Linked DNA regions of Rattus norvegicus. The protein of the gene in region 1 purifies or fractionates together with the protein of each later gene. This does not show direct contact. Links are inferred from orthologs where the notes say so. Each region holds a gene or a part of one and is shown on either strand. Other genes may lie near its edges. The genes, in order: Gsk3b, Akap11, Epb41l3, Axin2 and Gskip.

The links.
Region 2: the proteins of Gsk3b (region 1) and Akap11 purify together in Homo sapiens (affinity purification with mass spectrometry; 4 studies listed by BioGRID and IntAct, with this or other methods). This does not show direct contact. The link is inferred for Rattus norvegicus from reciprocal best matches to the Homo sapiens genes GSK3B and AKAP11.
Region 3: the proteins of Gsk3b (region 1) and Epb41l3 purify together in Homo sapiens (affinity purification with mass spectrometry; 4 studies listed by BioGRID and IntAct, with this or other methods). This does not show direct contact. The link is inferred for Rattus norvegicus from reciprocal best matches to the Homo sapiens genes GSK3B and EPB41L3.
Region 4: the proteins of Gsk3b (region 1) and Axin2 purify together in Homo sapiens (affinity purification with mass spectrometry; 9 studies listed by BioGRID and IntAct, with this or other methods). This does not show direct contact. The link is inferred for Rattus norvegicus from reciprocal best matches to the Homo sapiens genes GSK3B and AXIN2.
Region 5: the proteins of Gsk3b (region 1) and Gskip purify together in Homo sapiens (affinity purification with mass spectrometry; 10 studies listed by BioGRID and IntAct, with this or other methods). This does not show direct contact. The link is inferred for Rattus norvegicus from reciprocal best matches to the Homo sapiens genes GSK3B and GSKIP.

Annotation. Positions count from the first base shown.
Region 1 is NC_086029.1:76,055,624-76,059,565, reverse strand, and holds part of Gsk3b (glycogen synthase kinase-3 beta), read left to right. Parts: intron 1-3,170; coding exon 3,171-3,277; intron 3,278-3,942. UniProt on the Homo sapiens protein: Constitutively active protein kinase that acts as a negative regulator in the hormonal control of glucose homeostasis, Wnt signaling and regulation of transcription factors and microtubules, by phosphorylating and inactivating glycogen synthase (GYS1 or GYS2), EIF2B, CTNNB1/beta-catenin, APC, AXIN1, DPYSL2/CRMP2, JUN, NFATC1/NFATC, MAPT/TAU and MACF1.
Region 2 is NC_086033.1:60,362,487-60,367,132, reverse strand, and holds the start of Akap11 (A-kinase anchor protein 11), read left to right. Parts: upstream 1-1,797; 5' UTR 1,798-1,944; intron 1,945-4,646. UniProt on the Homo sapiens protein: Binds to type II regulatory subunits of protein kinase A and anchors/targets them.
Region 3 is NC_086027.1:116,701,648-116,705,589, forward strand, and holds part of Epb41l3 (band 4.1-like protein 3), read left to right. Parts: coding exon 1-166; intron 167-1,448; coding exon 1,449-1,580; intron 1,581-2,277; coding exon 2,278-2,376; intron 2,377-2,871; coding exon 2,872-2,952; intron 2,953-3,229; coding exon 3,230-3,340; 3' UTR 3,341-3,346; intron 3,347-3,942. UniProt on the Homo sapiens protein: Tumor suppressor that inhibits cell proliferation and promotes apoptosis. Modulates the activity of protein arginine N-methyltransferases, including PRMT3 and PRMT5.
Region 4 is NC_086028.1:94,397,278-94,401,869, reverse strand, and holds the start of Axin2 (axin-2), read right to left. Parts: upstream 3,086-4,592; 5' UTR 3,003-3,085; coding exon 2,188-3,002; intron 1-2,187. UniProt on the Homo sapiens protein: Inhibitor of the Wnt signaling pathway. Down-regulates beta-catenin. Probably facilitate the phosphorylation of beta-catenin and APC by GSK3B.
Region 5 is NC_086024.1:130,366,897-130,370,578, reverse strand, and holds part of Gskip (GSK3B-interacting protein), read right to left. Parts: intron 392-3,682; coding exon 133-391; intron 1-132. UniProt on the Homo sapiens protein: A-kinase anchoring protein for GSK3B and PKA that regulates or facilitates their kinase activity towards their targets.

The DNA.
Region 1 (3,942 bases):
AGGGACTTAAGTTGTCCCGCCTGCCACAGGAGTGCTGGAATGCTAACATTCAGGCTCAAAAAGGCCGTGGCGGCACTTGCTGATAATTCCAGTCACTCAGTAGATGTGGGAGGTCATTAGTTTGAGGCTGGCCTAAGCCAGGTAGTGAGACCCTGTGCGAAAGGAAAGCCTCTGTCAAGTCAGTACTGTATGCATGGTAGCTTTTGTTTTAAAAACCCTTTTGTGACTAGTGTGCAAACACACATAACAAACATGGCTTATTCTGAGTTGATATGTAATACCTCATACACGATTGTCTGGGACGGGATGTTTGAGGATTATCGTGTACTTGGGAAACTTACATTCCCAATGACTGCTCTTTAGTATAAACTCCTTGAGCTTATGGAATACATATATCTGCTCCATCTTTATTACTAATAAATCTCTTAAGTTATACATTTGCATATATTCCTTTAACTTCACACTCAACCTCAATACAGGAGTGCAGTAAAATACAGAGAGGCAATATTTTTCTCTATTAATATTTACTATTAATATTTCCTCTATTATTTCCCCATTTTTGCAGATTCTAACAAGTATGATTTTTTTTTAAACCGCCGATTTCTTGGTTATATACTGTTGCTAGTGTAAACTCCTCATGCTTTCTCTTTGTGTAGCATTTAGCTATAAAGCCTCCCAACATGCAGCCAAGCCTATACCCCACAGGACAGATCACCATATCCCTTCTTCATTCTCTATCTGTCGCCTCCGGGGGTAGCCCTACTCTCTGTGCTGAGACTTCTGTCCTTATAACTTGGGTGCTTTTTCATCCTTGTTAGAAGTTCTTCTTTTTCAGTTTAGCACCACAGATGATACATTGACTCCTGCTGTCTATAGTCCCTCCTCTTTATATAGACGTCTATACCAAACCGTAGATTAGATTGTGGGTTTAACATCAGTGCAGGTGAAGGGAGGTATTTGGAAAAACCGAGCCAACCTGCTGTCAGTAGGTTCATGCTTAGTCTTGTTCTGCAGTTTCTTTCAAGCCATTCCACTTAACAAACCCTATCCCAGGGTCTCAGCACTGCAGGCTGCGGCTCAGGTGAAAATACACACTAAGGCGTTTTTTTATTTGATGGTTGAATGGTGGGCTGCTGCTTGTTTCACCTATGAAAAGGCACCCAAATCACATGGGGTTTGTTACTGGGGAGAGTAACTGCCGAGTCCTGCAAGAGCCACCTAGTGCAAGTTCCTCTGCTCACCACCATGTCAGAGCATTGTTCGCGCCCGCGCCCAGCGGATTCTACGGGTGTAAAGTAGCTGTGCCTGGATACATTTGAAAGAGGGCTTTCACAGGTGTGAAATAGCTCATTCTTTAGCAACTCTGAGGTAGGATTTTGGAGACACTTAAGGTGAAAACTTAACAAAACTGCCTTCTTAATAATTTTTAATTAGGTGTAACAGGTCTGGCAGTAGCTGAAATGGGGTGTGAAAAAAACCCATTTTATAGAGTCTAACTGGGGTGTCTAAGGGCCATTAGGTAAAGGGAAAAGTTAGTTTCGTTGGTGATGAGGGAAAAGGATACAGGCTGTCAAAGCTCTCAGTTGGATGACTGAGTTGTTGTGCGTTTCTCTTCTAAGCATCTGCTTTACCCATTAAAAATGTGCCTCGTGGGGCTGGGGATTTGGCTCAGTGGTAGAGCGCTTACCTAGGAAGCGCAAGGCCCTGGGTTCGGTCCCCAGCTCCGAAAAAAAGAACCAAAAAAAAAAAAAATGTGCCTCGTGTGTTTGGTTTCTGAGACAGGGTCTCTGTGGCCCTGGCTGTCGCAGCAGCAGCTGCCTCTGCCTCTGTAGAGCGCTGAGACTGAAGGTGTGGGCCACTGTGTCCTGCTTGCTGGTCATTCGTTCGGGAGCTGGATTTAAACTCCGCATCCTAGAGCTGCTTTTTCAAGGGGCCATTCCAAGTCCCCAAGGCGCACTTCTGAAGATAGAAACGTCTGTTATCGAGGGCACTAACACTGAATATCTTGACTTTTTTGACAGTCTGAAAACCTTAGTGTTGTTAACATAGCGAACACTGTTTTATCTGGGCCTAAGAAAAAGATTAAAATTTGAAACAGATAATGAAGGAAAGAACAAATCAAGTTTAGAGCCATCATTGAGTAGAAGTAAACTGAAAGGGAGGAAACCTAGACCCCCAAGACTGAATGACCATTTTCACATGTCTGTGTCCTGCACTGTTACCTCAGATTTTCCACCTGTTTTTGGCATTTATTTATTTTTTTCTATTTGTTCATTCATTTGATTTTATCGCATGTATTTCTTTTCTGTATCTCATGCTACTGTCAGAACAGCTCCTAGAGCAGCCTGCTTATATGAGATGGAGTTACCCAGAGAGACATTTCAAGAGACACTGTGACTCACTTTAACATTTAAAATATGTACTGTAAACTACTTTAGGAGGAAAGTTGTAATAATATGTTCAACGTAGCACTGCAGCGATGGAGCAGATCGGGCCTGAGTCACTTAAATCAAATGCCTTTTACAGTTTGTTTAGCAGTAGGTGTTTAAATCGACTGCGGTGTGGAAGCATGGATTGGCTGTGTAAGGCCGAGCTGGTCATCCCGGGTCTGAAGACCAAGTTTAACAGAGTAGCCAGGTCCCCCCCACACTCCCCCTTTTAAAAGCATATAGGTGGGGAATACTGATACATTCACTTCTATGATTTGCTAACAGTCTTTTGTTGCAGAAGGTTGCTCTTTAATTTCCTGCCCTTCATCTTTATATTTTATTTAGTTACTTATTATTTTGAGGCAGTGTCTCACTGTATACCATTGGCTGACCTGGAACTCTCACTACAGAGTGGCCTCCATCTCGCAGAGGTCCGCCTGTCTCTGCCTCCCGAGTGCTGGGAGGGAAGGTCGCACCACCTTGCCCGTCAGCCATTTTATATTTCACAAGTTGAATGTAGGAAATGGGGAAACCAGAAGAAATTGAACATGTGTGTCCTTTTGTAATTTTTTAAATCTCTTTGTTCCTTAGCTAAGGCTTGACAAATGCTCACTTTAAAAATTCCTCTTTAAAGTATCAATTTGCTGAACTTGTGTATTTCTCTTGTTGGAAACATTTCAAGTGTGTTGCTTACAAGGTTTAGACGATTAAAGATTGTTTTTTATTTTTATTTTTCATCAGTGCAAAGCAGCTGGTCCGAGGAGAGCCCAATGTTTCATATATCTGTTCTCGGTACTACAGGGCACCAGAGCTGATCTTTGGAGCCACCGATTACACGTCTAGTATAGGTAAGTGCTGGCTCTGGGTGCGGTGGGTGTGACTGTTAACTGTCCTGACCCTTCTCCAACAAGGCAGGGCACGACAGAGCAGGGCTGCAGCAGTACACTTTTGCAGAAATGAGTAGAATTAATTTTTTTTACATTTTAGAATTTATGCTTTTCTACTATTAGAATTATAAAAATATTATTTTGTATTGTAGTTGCTTAATGCATTTGTTTGGCTCTTAAGTTTCAAACAAATGTTGATAAGCTTTTAAAAACATTACTGAGGCAGAGATGGATGGCAAAAAGACGTGTGTGGAGCTCAGTCCCAGCCGCGCTGGAGAAACTCAGCTGCTGAGTTAACTAATGGGGTCTGCACTGGTTTTCTAGTTCTGAAATGTTTACTTCTGAGCCTAAACTACTTAGAAATGTGTTAATAAATAATGTTACTTTTAAAATGTTAATATTGTAATCGGTAGGGCAATGATATTCCTGAATCCCTACAATGATGCATCGCTTAATTTTTGAGCAACTTAATTCATTAGCTTTTCAGCTAAGCCCACTGGTTGTTCAGATCTCGCTGGAGATGTCTATTGATAGAAGGGTTAGAGATGGTTGAGGTCTGCATTGACCCTATCTTCTTAACCTGTTCTAGTGCCATTGCTATGTTAGCAGACAAAAACCTGTTTATT
Region 2 (4,646 bases), on another chromosome or scaffold:
TGTTGCATTGCTCTGGTCAGGCACATGGGAATGTTTTGGATGTGACATAGATTCACAGTGGCTCCAGAGGAAGGGACTATGGGGGTGAGCAGGTGGTGTTACTTCCGTTTCCACACCCAGAGGCCAGCATTTCTTAGGAAAGCATTCCTGGTATCTGGCTCAGTCAGTTACAGTGTCTCAGTTGGTGTGTGAGGTCCAATTTCACTTGGCTTGCCCAGCCTGCTATCTCGTCTTTCAGAAAAGTTCATTTCCCTCACCTGCTTCCCCTGCCAGGGCAAGCGCGACAAAATGGAATTCAGTCTCAGCCAGCCTGTGTGGAGACCAGAGTGCCTTGTTTTATGTACGAGGAACTTGAGACTCAGGATCATAAAGAGCTTATGACTTGCTTATGTCACTAGTTAGTGGAGTGTTTCATACTGGAAGACTTCCTGATTTCTTTTGTTTTGAATTAAACTTCTTTTTCCAGCCTCCAACCTCTTTTCTAATCTCACTCTACTAAAATCTACAAAGAACATTATTTTATGTTCCATATTTTTTAAAAAGTATTTTTTAAAAAGCTAATTGTTATTATTCCCTCCTATAAAAAAAATAAATCTTTAAAGCTGCTCACTGTACATTCCCAGTTCTTTTCTTGGCTGATACAGCTGTAAGAGATCTAGCCTCCATTATCATCCCAGGTTTATTTCTTGTTGTCGTTCAAATGTGCTTGCTACATTACATCCCAATTTCGGGCATGTGAGTTATCCTACTTTTTGCTAGCGATGCTCTGCCCTCCCATTTTTGTAGGGCTATTATCCAAATCACTGCTTTTATCTTTCCTCCCACAAGGGCACCGCCCCCAAGTAGTGGCCCAATTGTAACCACCATCAGATTGTGATGATTTGCGAGTTAACACCTACAGATCTCTCTTCCCAGCCCCCAATCTCTACATCCTAGTCTATTTGCCTTCATCATGGTTCAATAGACAAACTGGGATGATAACTAAAAAGCTGTAGTAAGGATGACAGCTTTCGGCTGAAGAAAACGAATATATGAATGTACTCTTTCTTGTTCCTCTTCCCTGAAGAGGACAAAAGAAGTAAGGAATATATACTTCAAAACGTCTTTCTCATCTCTCTGCCAACTTGAGGACCGGATGTCCTTGAGGAGACCATGCAACGTGACTGTACTGATCCTTCCGATTTAAACAGGAGTCACATAGCTTGTCATCCAAGGCTAGGGTTCTTGGTGGTCAAAGCCTTATTTCCCAATTTCAATGGTCCATGGGGTAGGGAGGTGCATTCCCCTTGGACTGACTCCAGAGGTTCAGATTGGGCCCGAGGCCTGGTGCTTTCCCCATCCCCCAACCCCCTGGTTTTCCCTGGTGATGTTGGGAACCGGGCAGAGTCATTCTGAGGGATGGGCCGTGCGTGGACCCTTGATCTAGTGGGCTGCCGCTGTGGGAAACCAGCCCCAGGAAGGTGGGGCGGACCAAGGCAGATAGTCTAAGGAGGCGGACGTCAGCTCCCTAGGCTCCATTGCTTGCTAGAGGAAAGGGTTAAGCGGTTCCCAAGGCAACGCACCAGGAAGCGCGCAAGACGTCAGCGGAGAGTTCGTAGGTCAGCTTCGGGTTTAAAGCTCCCACGGGCCGAGGGCCACCCGGCCAATGGAGAGGGTGCCTCCACGTCACGTGACGGGCGACCCGCAGCTTTGCCCTCCAGAGCACGTGGGAAGATTTTTTCCCCCCTCCTTGTTCCTTTTGCGCGGGCTCGGCCACGGGGTTGTTCTCGCGAGAGGTGCGACTGCTCTCGCGAGAGTGAGTGGGCGGCGTGGGGAGGCGGCGGCGGTGGCGTCGCGGGCTGGGGCGGGCGAGGGATCGCCGCTGCGCCGCGGCTCGCGCCACCGGGCGTTGCGGGCCGTGACGGGAGGGTGACATGCCCGGGAACTGAGAGGCTGCGCCGCCGGGTGAGCGGGGCGGGGAGCGGGGAGCCAGCAGGCCTGGTCCAGACTGCGGCGGGGCGCCGTGGCCTCGCTGCGTGGGGCGCAGGCGGGAGGACAGTGCACTTTGTCCTCCGCAGCAGCATCCTTCCCTGTCAGCGTCCGAGCCCAGGTCCGCGACGTTGCCCTAACCTCAGATACCGCTGTTTGCATCGCTGTCACGTCGCCCCCAGGCTGGCCAAGCATCCGAACTGCGCTACCAAATAGAAAATGGGCTGGCCAAACCACAGTGACAGTACAATCTAAACCCCTCGTATGGCTTGGTGACAGCCCTTTACCTCTGCTCTTTAAAAAGAAAAAAAAAAAAAACCCTATTAGTTGGAGGTGGCTTAGCTTTAGGCATTAAGGCATTTCACGGTGAGCAATACTGCTGAGACACATCGCTAATGGCCTTGGCGCATACTGGAGTTAATATTCGCAGTTCTTCTTAGCTTTGTAATTATTCATTTGCTTCTAAAACGCCTGTTTTCCGTTGCATCTTCTCACCTTGTTAGCAGTGTTATTTATGTTGATACTCAATTTTGTTATGTATGAAAATATCTAAAAATAAGAGTGTCAGGAAAGGTGGAGTATTTATTTATGCAAAGATGATTTTGTTTTAATATCTTCGCGTTTGGGTGTGTGTGTGTGTGTGTGTGTGTGTGTGTGTGTTGGTAGAAGGCAGCTCAGTGCCTGGTATGATTGATGTCATTTTAAATAGTGTCACCTAATCTTTCAAACTGTAGGAGCATTTTTCAAGGAATATCCTGGTTATTCATACTTAATTGTGTTTTCCAGGCAGAACTGTGAATCATGGGTTGGCAGTAAATTAAACAATTAGTTGTGTTGTTAGTAGCTGACTTAGGAGGGATAAAGGGATATGAGGGAACTGGGGGAAGAAGTGGGTTTATAAGCTGTGCTGTGGCTAATGTAGATAGATAGCTACGAAACTGCTCAACTGATCTGCCTGGAAAGGAATTGGCAGTAAATACTCTGTGGCCAGTGATTTTTCCCAGTCGTTGAAGATACTGAAGTTAGAACCCCATAATTATAGTGAGAGTTTTGCTAGCCTTCTCTCTAACCTCTGAATTCCAGGGCTGCGACTAGGAAACAGAAGAAAATCCTCTGGGAGAAAGGATGGTACATTTTATTTTAATTCCAAAGATTTAGTGTCTGGGAAAGGAACTCAGCCAATTCAAAGCATAATGCAGCAGGTTGTCTAAAGGGAAAATTCCAGTTATAAATAGGGGAATTCTAACCACACACGAAGATATGAAAAACTTAGGTGAATGGGCAAAGGAGATTACAAAAGTTCCCTTCCATTCCTCTAACTTGTGGCAAGGGTTTCAGACTTTTAGGGCAGTGGTTGCTCTGTCTTGTGTTTGGAAAGCAATTAAATTAACTTTGGATGGAGTAATTACTTACGTAATTTTTTTCTTTTTCTCCTTTTCTTTTTGTGAAGTGGCCCTGGTAGTAAAAAGAATTAACCAGTAAAAGAACGAGTGTTGGGAGGTTAGAAGATCTGCATTTGCTTGAGTGGCAGTAGAAGGCAGACACACTGGCATTCTGGCCCAGGAAAAAATGTGCCTTACTGTTTTAAAAGCAAACGGGGCAGATCCATTTCTTTTCTTCTCTTTTTTCTTTTCTGTTCTTCCTTTGAGAAAGAAATTAATTGAAAATGACCTCCTGAAGATAAGCACTCAGAATGTATGGATTATTGACTGGACTTGACAGGAGGAGGAAGCTTAGTGATTTTGTGTTAGCCTCTGACTAGGTGTTTTTCCTTTGACCTTCCTTAATGGTTTGAGGATTATTTGGCTGCCAGAATCAAAAGGCCATTAGAATTAGCTTACTTGAAAAAGGCATTTGTCATAATTTTGTAACACTGATGCCAAGGTCCAGTTTGCAATTTTAGCTCAGTGGCTGGGAAACTGGACCATCTTGAGGTTGGAGCACATAGAGTTTTCTTTTAGTTCCCTTCTACTAGCTGCATGCCCTCCTCAGTTGTTAAATAATCACCTTCTCCTGAAACCTCTTGGTTTTTGTTCTTTGGTTTGCCAGAGTGTTCACATCAGACCCACCTTGACTTGGCATCATAGTTCCTACTGACCTCTTTAACTCTCAATTCAAAATGTCTGTACATGGAGAGAAAGCAGTGGTCAGCTTTCCAGGTCTTGTCAAGTTGGTTTAGCATAGAGTAGGAAGATGTAGAGTAGGAAGTTGACAACGGGAGGTGGATGGTGGGGAACTACACATGTGGCTTCTCAGACTGCTTCAGCAAGGTCTTTAAGATGTGGGACATCTGTAGTTGGGAGGAAATGATGGATACCTCTGGTGTACTGTAGTGTCTTAGGGTTTGAGTTCTTCCCCCAAGTCCTGCATTGCACTTGGTCTCAGCTACCTAGAGTTGTAACCAGATTCAGTGATCCCTTTCCAGGACAGGTTCTCTTGGGTTTGTTAGGTGACAGACTGCTTAAAATAATTTATATAATGGGCATAATGATGCCATGAGAATTGTAGATTCACATGTGTGACACAGTTTCTTTCTAGCTGGCAAATTGCAGTTATGGTGCAGAAGTATGATGTGTCCTGTTTGTTGCTGACTCTGTACTGGGCTTCTGCAGTGTTCAGAGAAGAAATTGTCATTTTTCTTTTCAGTCTAGTGCTGACTACACATACTTAGAACTTGT
Region 3 (3,942 bases), on another chromosome or scaffold:
TGGGAAGGAGGGCTCTTCTGTGACAGAAGCAGCTAAGGAACAGAGAGGAGAGGAGGCTGACAAGTCTGCCCCGGAGCAGGAACAACCAGCCACTGTCTCCCAGGAGGAGGATCAGGTGTCGGCCATCCACTCTTCTGAGGGTTTGGAACAAAAGTCTCATTTTGAGGTAAGTGGTCGTTACTCTCTTCCTGTGATGCCGAGATTCAGATCGGAGTTAACGTGCAGCTAGATTTAACGTTACGCCCCGTCGTGCACGGCCTTTAGTCTTTCTTTCTGTTCTTTTCCTTTGCATCACATGTCAGGGTTTCCACGATTTTGGTTCACAGAAACTAGTAGTGTTGATGTGTAATTCTAGGATGCGATTTCTGTCTTTGAAATTATGACTGTGAAAACACGGGAGACCCATGATTACACATTGAAGATTTGGAGGGCCACGAAGATGGCTCAGTGGCTAGCAGTGCTTGGCACACAAGCCTGAGGACCTCAGTTCAATCCCTGGTCCCTGGGACTTACGGTGGAAGGGGAGAACCATGTTCTGAGAGTTGTCCTCTAAAATACACACACACACACACACACACACACACACACACACACACATACACACATATACATGCATATACACATGCACACATACATACACATATACACATATACATACATATACATACACATATGTACATACACATGTGTACATATGCACACGTATATACAAAAATACATACATGCACAACATACATACATGCACACATATATACATATACACATATGTACACATACACATATATACATACACAAATACCAACACATATACACACAAATACACATACCTATACACACATATGCATACACACATACACATACATATACACATGCACATATACACATATACCCACACATATACACATATATATACACATACACATACATACCCACATACCCACACATATACACACATATACATACACATGTACACATACACACACTAATAATAATAGATTTTAAAAAGAAAACTTGGCATTTATTTCTGATCTATTATTGACTTTACTAGGAATACCAGAAATCTCTCCTCCCACTTACAGAACCTCATCCTTTATCCTTTTACTGAGATTCTCCAAACATCGGTGGGTGGCAACCGATGATGTAATACTTGCCTCATCATCCTTGGTTGCTAATTTAAGAACTCATCTATAAGTTTAACAGCATCAGTGTTCGCATATGCGATTGGGCAGAAGGAAGAGCTTATTCTTTAATTTCCTTTCAAATGTTTCCATTGCCTTGAACAATCTACATTAGCAACACTGTAACTCGGAGAGACTAACGTAGATTTGTTCTGTGCCACGAACCCCACGTCACCCCCTCACTTAGTCCTGAGCACAGTGAACCAAGAGCAAGCAGCTCAGATTGTGCGCCCGCCTCCATAACCTCTCCCCTTGCTTCCCACGATACAGTCGTCCACTGTGAAGGTAGAAAGCATAAGTGTGGGCAGTGTCTCTCCAGGAGGAGTGAAGCTAGAGACCTCTACCAAGGAGGTGCCAGTGGTCCACACAGAGACGAAAACCATCACGTACGAGTCTTCTCAGGTAAGACGGTCTGTGAGAACCTGGCGACTGCATGGCTTTGGGCATTCAAGTTTAACTACATGGCATCAGTCTAAGAGGCTGGAGGATCCTGCAGCCAAGCCTCGTCTTGAAGAACAGTGCAGTGCAACCGTTAGTTTGATCGCTGATTATGGAGGTGTCGGTGCTCAGCCTGGGCCTCAGATAACCTGAGTGTACAGCTATGGATAAGGAAGAGGGCTCACTCAGCCACACTCAGCTCACATTTATTAAGTCTCAGTTTGTTGACCCTCATTGCCTAGAGCTTACTCTTGGCAGCTCTCACCTTTCATCTGAACTGTGCAAGGATGGTGAGAAGCAACTGTTCCTTCCGAAGAAGCGTGTTCCTTCCGTGGGTGCTGCGGTCCCTCACCTAGAGTTACAACATCTGCTTGTAACTTGCGAATGTCCTCGGCACCATTTAAATAATCTCTAGGTGGCTTGGACAGCCTTGCACAACATGAATGCTGAGCGGGCAGTTGTCACGCTCCGCTACTTGGCCAGGGTCTGCACACGTTCGGTCTGCTTGCAGATAGATTTGAGTGTTTTTCTGTCTGTGGTTGATTGAGTCCTAGGTGGGAGGGCTGTGTTCACTCACTGTAGTGCATTAAAGAACAGACCAGTCCTGAGGAGAGGAAATATAACGGTGCCCGTGTGCTCTGTGTGTTCCTGTCTCGCTTAGGTCGATCCTGGGGCAGATCTGGAGCCAGGTGTGCTAATGAGCGCCCAAACGATCACGTCTGAAACCACGAGTACTACCACCACCACACATATCACCAAAGTAAGTGGGGAGACACCCGACAGCGTTCCTGACCACTGGGGAAAGCCATCGCTCCTCAGAGCCTTGGACAGATTAGGCTGCACAGATAGCTCTATTAAAGTGAGCTCTAATCTTCATAGAACCAGGGGAAGGAGGGGATATGGGAGAGGGGGGAAAGGGGATAACATTTGAAAAGTAAATACATAAAACACCCAGTAAAAAAAACGCTTAATACAAAAAAGTAAGCTTAAAAACACATGTATTTACCGTGCATCTCCCACGGTATGCTAATTTCTGTTGAGGGTCCTCAGTGTTCTCTCCAGTGGTGGGCGTAGAGTGGATCTCACAGAAACTGGCCCTACCAAACCCGAAGAACTCAACCCTACCCTCACTTTTGAAAGTAAACACGTTAAACGTCTGTGGTCGACTCCTATTTTAGTTCTATAAGATCGAATGGCAGCTAGGCCTCCCCGTCACCCCAGCGGATAGCTCACAGAGCTCTTCTGCTTCCTTTAGACTGTGAAAGGAGGCATTTCGGAGACGAGGATTGAGAAGCGAATAGTCATCACGGGAGATGCCGACATTGACCATGACCAGGTAGTATGGGCGAGACGGTAAACGCTCTGTCAGAGGGGTAAACGTGACCATGTTGGCCCTTTGGGTTCCCAGTGCTAATCTTCCCAGCCCAGTGCGTATTCGACAATAAGTTTCCGAGTTAACCTTCCAGTAGATGCCTTTGACCCCTCCCTCGACCGTTGTGCCTCGGTGTTAGCTGTGGGGATAGATTTAGCGTGTGTAAGTCTACATCTTGCTACCGCTCATGCATGTCCCACCTCCTTTTTGTTTTTGCCCTCCTGTGATTTCCCGGGGATAGGCGCTGGCTCAGGCAATTAAAGAGGCCAAAGAGCAGCACCCCGACATGTCAGTAACCAAAGTAGTGGTCCATAAAGAGACAGAAATCACACCAGAAGATGGAGAGGATTGACCGCAGGTAAGAGGTGGCACGGATTCTCCAGGCTGGCCTCGGTGGCATGCGGCATGGGGCACTCCCTCCCACCCTTCGCCTGACCTGCCCTCTCCCTCATTCTCTCACTGGCGCCTGTCGGGCCTGGCAAGCAAGAAGGAGGAGAACTGTTTCGTGGGTCCCGGGTTGTAGAGGTTCAGTCTTCAGGGTTGTGTCGGCACCCACTCAAGTGAGGGGGAAAGGGGGCACCCATGCCAGTGAGAGGAAAAGGGAAAGGAGGCTCCTTGCTTGCACAGGCCTTACTGCCGCCACTCTCGCCGTCTGGGCTTCCCCTTGTCCTCGTTACCCAAATTTGAATTGTCAAATTTGACTTCCCCTGCCCTTCTGCCTGGTAAGAACCACGGCGGGTTCTAACGACTAGCTGAATCCATGTTTCAGCTTGGAGCTGTAGAGGGATTAGCCGTGCCCCTTCCTGCTTTTGATACAGCATCGCCCCTTGGAAGCGCCCTCACGCTTCCAAGATAAATGTCTGTGCCTCCGACTGTTTGGTTTGGTTCGGAACTGAGCACTAACTTTTTTTTTTTTTTTTGAATGTCTTATATCTCCTGCATTTCGTGAGTGAC
Region 4 (4,592 bases), on another chromosome or scaffold:
TTAATTATACTAATTATAACACTTAGCATCTTTTCAAAATGTTTCCCTTTACAAAAAGCCTTTCATGTTTATTATTTTGATCCTAAGAACAACCTTAGGACATGGACGGGAGAGACAGTGCCCACCTACCTGACGGATGGGAACGTGAGGCTGAGGAACATTCAAAACAAGGGATGCTACTATGACAAGGCCTGGAACTTGACACAGTACCAGACTAGAAGGAGAGCTCGCACGTGTTAAAAAGAAGTAAGGGCCATCTGGGCGTGTCCAGGTAAACGTTTCCTTCCAACCTAACAGTGGGAGAACACACACCTGATCTGTGTAAGCTAACTAACGGGGTCACTCAAGAGCTGTCATCCACTCATCAGTGACATTCACAGTTCCCAGCCCAAAGGACACTGCTCCTTGGGGACCCAGTACTCTGCAAACATCCTAATGAAGCCTCTGGGAAGAGGCAACTCAACGTTTCGCCTAGGCTGCCCACCCACAAGGAGGAGTCCAAGCACAGTGTGGCTTGGAGAGTGCCTTCTTACTGCTGGCCTCGGAAACTGCCCTGTGCTATTTACAAAGGTGACACTCTGAGCCTGACACTGAAGCCACAGAAGACCCACTGTGGAGAAGCAGCCTTACCAAGGGCCTTAAGGACTCTTCGTCACTGGCTGCCAGGCTGGAGGGTGAGGAGACCAATAGCAAACTTTATGTCCTTGCCACGGAGCAGGACAACAGAGGCAGGTACCTGTTTGTACCCAGCCCCAACAGCCTGGTTCTGCAAGCTCAGTGCCACTAACCACGCCCTCCTGCGACCCTATGCTTGCCTTCAAAAACCCAAGCCAGTTCCGTTTAGGTGTAGACCAGATGTCTGAAAATTGGTTAAGTTTGCTTCCAAAGTTGCAAGAGCGCCCTCTGGTGACCAGAGAGCAAGTCCTTCCCTTACTTGCCACAGCAGCCAAAACTGAAGACCATGCATGCCCACAGAGCAGCAAAGGGGGCTTGCCCCCTCCGGATGCTTCGGGGCATGGGAGACCACGCCCCATGAAGCCGGTGAGATCTCCAGAACCTGTGTGCAGAACACATATCCTGGGTCCCCGAGACAGAGAAATGCACAGGGACAAGAAGAATAGAGCCATGCAGATAGCAATCTGGTGTCACCCCCACCTCCCGCCCCACATGTCACAAGCAACAGACTAAAATTAATAATAGGTGCACTCCTCTTTGGGGGAATCTCTGGAGAGGAAGGAGAACGGAGAAACGCATTCTAACAGGTCTGAAGTTGCTTGCAAAGGCCAAGAACCTTGAGACTTGGCTAAATCTATAATGGGCAGTTTGTCTTAGAAGCTTTAAAGAGAGAAAGTGGGGGGGGGGGCAGTCCTCTCCCCGCACCCACACTTCTCTATCAGCACTGAGCAACTGAGGTCTGACCCTGGAGCTCAACAGCATTTGAAAGCTGGATTAATAGCCAGCAGACGCCAAAGTGAAGTCTCCTTCGTGGGAGGAAGTCGAGGGGCCTTCCCCCCCAAGTTAGTCAGAAGTCTTCCTCCCTGGGAAATACCTAATTCTACAAAGGGGACCACAAACTCGCTTGCTAATCTGCCCGCTGGCTCTGAACATGAAGTGAGATGGATACCACTCATCCCTCCAAGGTGCACGGCTGTCCTTGTGTCCCCCCACCCCCGCGCACCCCTCCTCTGCCACAGCCCAGCGGCCCCTCCCCCCAAGCCAGAGTAATTCTACTTTGATGAGTATCGGTGAAAATGACCCTTTCCCAAACTGGCACTTAGTGGGTCTAGTGACTCAGAGGCATCAAAAGCTGCAGCATTCACATTCCCTCTTTTCCCTCTCTCTCCCTCCCAACAGCTTGGGATAATAAGTCACCACATTAATGCTGCTTGCCACTGTTTGAAGTTAGCAGTGGAAGGCTGCAGGTACTCAGCTGTGAGTACATTGCAACGCCCCCTACACACACACACACACACACACACACACACACACCCCACCACCACCAACAACAACAACAAAACATAAGATCAAAGGGTCCCCAGCCAGAAGTCCTGGCTCTCAATCAACCTTTATCTGCTTCCCCAGCCTAGCCATCCACCTACCCGCCCCGACAGAAGACATCCTCCAAGCCCTGTCCCCACTGGGGGGGGGGGATACCCCACCCCCAACCCAGCCCAGTCAGAGCCTCACCTGAATCCGTTTTCAGCCGTTTCTGTGGATCTCACGCTCGCTGTGGCCCGGAGAGTTTTGCTGGATAGGCCAACCACGGTGGGTGAAAGTTTGCACTTCAGGTCGGCACATGTCCACTCCTCTTCCTCATTCAGGGTGGGGAGGTAGCCACATAAGACCTTTAGGCTCCCCAGTCCCCCATTGCTCATGTAAGCTGTGTTTTCTCCCCCACTCCTCACATATTCGAGGTATATGTCAGAAGTCAAGAACACCTGATAGGCATTTTCCTCCATCACCGCCTGAATCTCCGTCTGCGCCTGGTCAAACATGACCGAGCCGATCTGCTGCTTCTTGATGCCATCTCTTATGTAGGTCTTGGTGGCGGGTTTCAGCTGTTTGGAGACAACACTGTTGTTCTCAATGTACCTCTTGTAGATTGCTTTGGCCACTCGCAAAGTTTTGGTATCCTTCAAGTTCATCTGCCTGAACCCATTGCAGGCAAACCAGAAGTCCAGGGTATCCACACATTTCTCCCTCTCCAGGAAAGTCCGGAAGAGGTATGCACCATCTTGGTCCCCCAACAAGGAGTGCAAAGACTTGGTCCACCTGGTCAGAGGGGAATCTGGGGAGGCCCGCCCCTCGGGCTCCCCCAGCCCATCTTCATTCCGCCTAGCGTTAGAGGAGACAGGCATAGGTTTGGTGGACTGGACCTTGCCCACGCTAGGCTGACACGGTGGGGTCTCCCCTTCTTCTCCGGGAACCGGGGGCCGCGGAGCATCCTCGCGGAAGCTGCTGCTTGGATCTGGAAGGAGAGTCACTAACACAGCGCTACTCATGGTGAGGGAGAGCGTCTCACTGAGTTTGGGTTTTGTTTTGCTTTTTTTTTTCCTCCTCCTTTTTCTTCTTCCAGTTCCTCTCAGCAATCGGCTTGGTCTCTCTTAAGTCAGCAGGGGCTCATGTGAGCCTCCTCTCTGGAAAGAAAAGGAGGGGGGAGGTGGGAGAGAGAAAAGGGTATTGATCTAATCAAAACCAGATCTACCCAACATCAAAGCAAGAAAGTAAACAGGCTTTTCAACTCCTCAAATTCAAATCAAGCAACCCAGCTATCCGCGAGGTGCTCATCTCAAGTATCCGACACAGCTTTTTCAAAGGCGAAATCTGAGCTCCCCACACACTTTTTCCGCGGGGGGGGGGGGTGCTGGGGGGCGGGAGGGGGGAAGGTGAGGCTGAAACAGTGACACAGGAGGTGTAAGACACAATCTTCCCCACATTCACGAGGCCCAGGGACACTTGGGGCAACCTAGCCGGACCCCCTCCCACGACAACCAGAGCACGCAAGCCAGCCGCCCGGCTGCGTGCAGGTGAAACCAATTTCGGTAAACTTCCCCACACTGCTCTGCACAGATAACTCGAGTTCTCAAAGTGCCCTTCCCCGGCATCTGGTTCCCATTCCCCCCACCCACCCCTCCCTCTGCGCTCCCTCGTCCCACTTCTTACAGAAGATCCCCGCCTGAAAAAAAGCCCGCCCAGCATCCGCGGGAAGGGGGTCAGCAACTCGCGGATTCCGCATGCACCCCCCCCATTACCCCGGATCCCAGACGATGTTGCCTATACTCAAGACTCTCCAAAAACGTGGCTCAGTCTACACTTCGTGTCTTCTTCGCTTCCCCAAAGCAGAAAACAGTTCACTAAGTAAGAGGCTTTGATCTTCAAACTTTTAAAGAGAGAAGAGAAACCTCGAGACCCGCCGCCCCCGGCTCCCCAATCCACCTCCTAGAGCCACGAACCCAACAAAACCGGATCAGAAGGCTTCTCACGCTACTACCGCCTGTGCCAAGAATCCCAAACTACATTGATCCCAAGCCAGTCTTTCTCCAAAAGAAAAGAAGTCTTATCTAACCAATAAACAAGCTGCTCTCCCTAGCCAGGGAAGGATCAAACTAAGAAGGGGCGGACCGGGGGACAGGGAGAAACTCTCCGGGCCAGCTGCCCGAGACCCCGGGTCTGGGTGGATGCACCCCTCCCCAGTCCCGGAGCTCAGGCCGCCAGGCTGGGCACAAACCCGAAGTGGTGGGGCAGGGTAGTGCCAAGCACCCGGGCGCAGAGAAGGTGGCGAGACGCCGTTACCTGGAAGATGAAGGCCGCCAGGCTCTCATCTCCTCTGAGCCCCTTCTGTCCCGTCCCTCCCCGGCCCAACTACAAACAAACGCCTCCAGAGTCCCGGTACGCCGTCCACCAGGAGCGAGGCCAGAGACCCCGGAACCCGGATCGGGGTAACTCCCTGGTGTCAAGCCTCGCAGAGGTTCCCGCAGAAAAAGGCACGGAAAGCAACCGCCTAGTCTAGAAATGGCGACGCGCGGAGTCTCAGCCTCTCCGCAAAAGGGGCGGCGAGGGGACGCGAGCGCCCTGGGCTCCGGCCGGTTCTA
Region 5 (3,682 bases), on another chromosome or scaffold:
TTTTGGGGAAAATACTTCTTAATTTTTTTTTAAAGATACCTATATCTGTTTTTTTTACATAATGTTCCCCTTTATCCTTTCTGATAAAATGACAAAGATAGGCTTTTTCCTTCTAAAATAAAAGTGAGTTACCCTGAGCCCTGCTTCTGTGAGCTCCAGGCAGTATCTGTTTCTTTCCTTTGTCTCCACATTGATGTAAGCCACATCGTCTGCACAGGGCAGGCTTTTTGAGACAAACATGTTGTTGACAGCAAAGAGAACGTCATTGACAACGGCCTCAGCCTCCAGCTGCATGTCCTTCATATCTGTTCCTTCAAACCCGTTGAGCTCGGAGCCTTCTTCGAATCCAGACATACTGCTTAGATCCACGGGATTACAGTCTGTTTCCATTCTGCAAGAAAGTAGTGACAGACTCAATGGAAAGCCATTCAAACTGGACAAGGGCAGAAGGCAGCAACATGCTTCACCAAAGTATGAGGAGCAGTCACCCTCAGTACTGTTTTCCATGCTCCTACTAGTGTGGCCCCTTGCGCCCCACTTAAAGCATTCCTCTGCTTTTTTTTTTTTATTCTTTTTTTTCAGAGCTGGAGACTGAACCCAGGGCCTTGCGCTTGCTAGGCAAGTGCTCTACCACTGAGCTAAATCCCCAACCCCTCCTCTGCTTTTCTAATCCAAGGCTCCAAACTCCACAGTCCTCCAAAGAGAAGCATGGTCAGGCAATCACAGCAATGCCCCAGCCCCATACCAATTTCTGCCTTAGGGTTCTAATGCTGTGAAGGGACACCGTGACCAAAGCAGCTCTTTTGCTGTTGTTTGTATTTTGAGGCAGGGTTTCTGGACATATCACTGGCTGTCCTGGAACTCACTCTCAGACCATGAAGGCCTTAAACTCAGAGATCAGTTCACTTCTGCCTCCCCAGTGCAGGGATTACAGGCCACGTGTTACCAAGCCTGGCTACCACAGCAACTCTAATGAAGGAAAACATTTAATTGGGGGTTCAGAGGTTTATCCATCGTCATCATGGTGGGGAGCACAGCAGCATCTAGGCAGACATGGTGCTAGAGAAGCAGCCGAGCGTTCTATATCTTGGTCCACAGGCAGCAGGAAGAGACTGAGACACACGAAAGCTGGTTTGAGCGTCTGAGATCTCAAAGGCCACCACCTGCCCCCACTTCCACTGACAATGCCACACCCACTCCAAGGCCACACACCTCCCAATGGTGCCGCTCCCTGCAAGCCTATGGAGTAGTTTTCATTTAAGCTACCACCCTAAGCCTTACAACGATACTCAGTATAAAACATAAACAGGCTGAGAGGCAGCTCAGTGGGCGGTCACTGAGGACCTGAGTTTAACACCAGCACTTGAGTAACCAGCCTGGCATGGCCGCAGGTACATCTGCGAGCCAGTGCTGCCAGTGAGGGCTAGAGTTTGCTGGTGCTCAGCCACGAGACCCAGAGAGACCTAACACAATGGCACATCACACACACACACACACACCCCATTTCAGGGAAAATTTTCAGTAGTTTTCACAGTAAAAATTACAGACATTTGTGAGTTTTTGGAGAAAAAAAAAACCCTTTTCTTCATTTTTCCTAAAGCTCAAATGCCATTTTTAGCTTTGTCACAACAGTGTCTCAGAAAATGAGTGTAGGAGTGTATATCTTTATTTGTTTTCTTCTTCTTCTTCTTTTTTTTTTTTCTTTTCTTTGGAGCTGGGGACCGAACCCAGGACCTTGCGCTTGCTAGGCAAGCGCTCTACCACTGAGCTAAATCCCCAACCCGTTTGTTTTCTTCTTAAGACAGGGCTTCTCTGCATAGCCCGGGCTGACCTGAAACTTGCTCTGTAGACCAGGCTGGCCTCCTCCACTCCTGAGTGCTGAGATTTGGAGCACACCCTACCATACCCAGTGAGCACATGGTTTTAAATGGGTAACTGTTCCCCTAATTCGATATTCAGAACTAGAACTGCAAAGTCAGAGGTCACTCCCTCTGTGTCACCGGATGTGCCTTGCTGAGTGACTCTAGGCTGACTCCTTGGGAGAGGCACCCCCCCCCCCCCCCCCCGCAGCTGGGGACCGAACCCATGTAAGAACATGAGGCATAGGACAAAAGCTCATTGTCTTAAGAAGTATATCCTTGATTTAATACCTTTTTGGAGGCTTACAGAATGTTTTTAGCTGTCAAGTTCACACAGAAGTGGAAAAGGACCCAGTCTGTTTGAAATGGGTTTCTGTACTTCTTTAAACATGTTTCCCTTACTCAACTAATACACTGCTTAAAGTAATGTTTGGTTTTATAGATGTGACCATTTAATATAGTTTATAGACTCAGTTTGGTCCATTAGTCCAGTGGCTAGGAATAAGTACTTTCACTGACTTGGCCTTGGCTTGATTTAAAAAAAAAAAAAAAAAGTCAGTTTAGAAGGTTTAGCTTCCAAGCACCATGCATGTCATGACTTTATATGATAATTAAGTACAGACATTTAACCATTACATGAAAAAGATGTTCCTAAAATTCTCTTAGCAGGAGTCTAGCAGAGAGATGGCAGAAAGATGGCTTTACAGGCTGTTGGAGTATGTCACCAGATGGTTACTTGGTAACAATCAGCCCTGAGTTCCAAAAAGAGGACACCTAGGGGACTTCATGCACCCCTTTGAGAATGATGTGAAAGATTTAAAACTTTTGCAAATGACTTATTTTAGTTATGTGTAGGGGTGTGTGTGTGTGTGTGTGTGTGTGTGTGTGTGTGTTTGTGGATGTGTACAGTGCGCAGAGGCCTAAGGGGGCCAGAAGAAGGCGTTGGTCCCCCTGGGGCTTGAGTTACAGGAGGTCACATCACCGTGAGGGTGCTGGGTGCTGCGAGGGTAGGGAAATGCTCTTGAGCACTGCTCTCCTGCCCGGGACCACCTTTCCCTTGCCTCGTTACACCCTGAGTCCTAAGGGGAACTGGAACGCCTCTTTTTCTACCGAGTGGGCTCAGCAGGTGATATGGTGAAGACTGACTCTGGTTCTTAGTTACAGTGGACTTCTTCATAGTCTTTTTAGTCCAGTCAGGCACACTCTGGCAACCATCTTGAGATTAGGACAGGAGGCAAAGGGCAATGCTGATGGGGGGAAAGAGAGCAGCAAAAACCTGAGAGGCCAGCAGGTTGCTCAGCCAGTTTCCCACCTCGGTCCTTTCTTTCAGTTACTGGAGCCAGTAAAGTCCCCTGTAGGCTTTAGTTTTTTTGTTTTTAAGATTTATTTATTTATTATATGTAAGTACACTGTCACTGTCCTCAGACACACCAGAAGAGGGCATCAGATCTCATTACAGATGGTTGTGAGCCACCATGTGGTTGCTGGGAATTTAACTCAGGACCTCTGGAAGAGCAGTCAGTGCTCTTAACCACTGAGCCATCTCTGCAGCCCCGGCTTTAGTTTTTTAAAGCCTACTTTTAAGGGTTCTCCAAAGCTCTGACACCCCTTGCAGCCCACTGTCCAGAGGGAGGGAGAAAAGATGGTAACTGGGCAAGGGGATGAACATGGCCCTGCTTAGACGGAGTTCTTTGAGGTGATTCCAGTCCCCACTGTCAGGAAACCAGTAGTCCAGTTCAGTGGGGCCAGGATACCAAAAGTCCAGTCCAGAAGTGTCACCAAACACAAATCAGTCACAAGGCACTATCCAGCAAAAACTGACA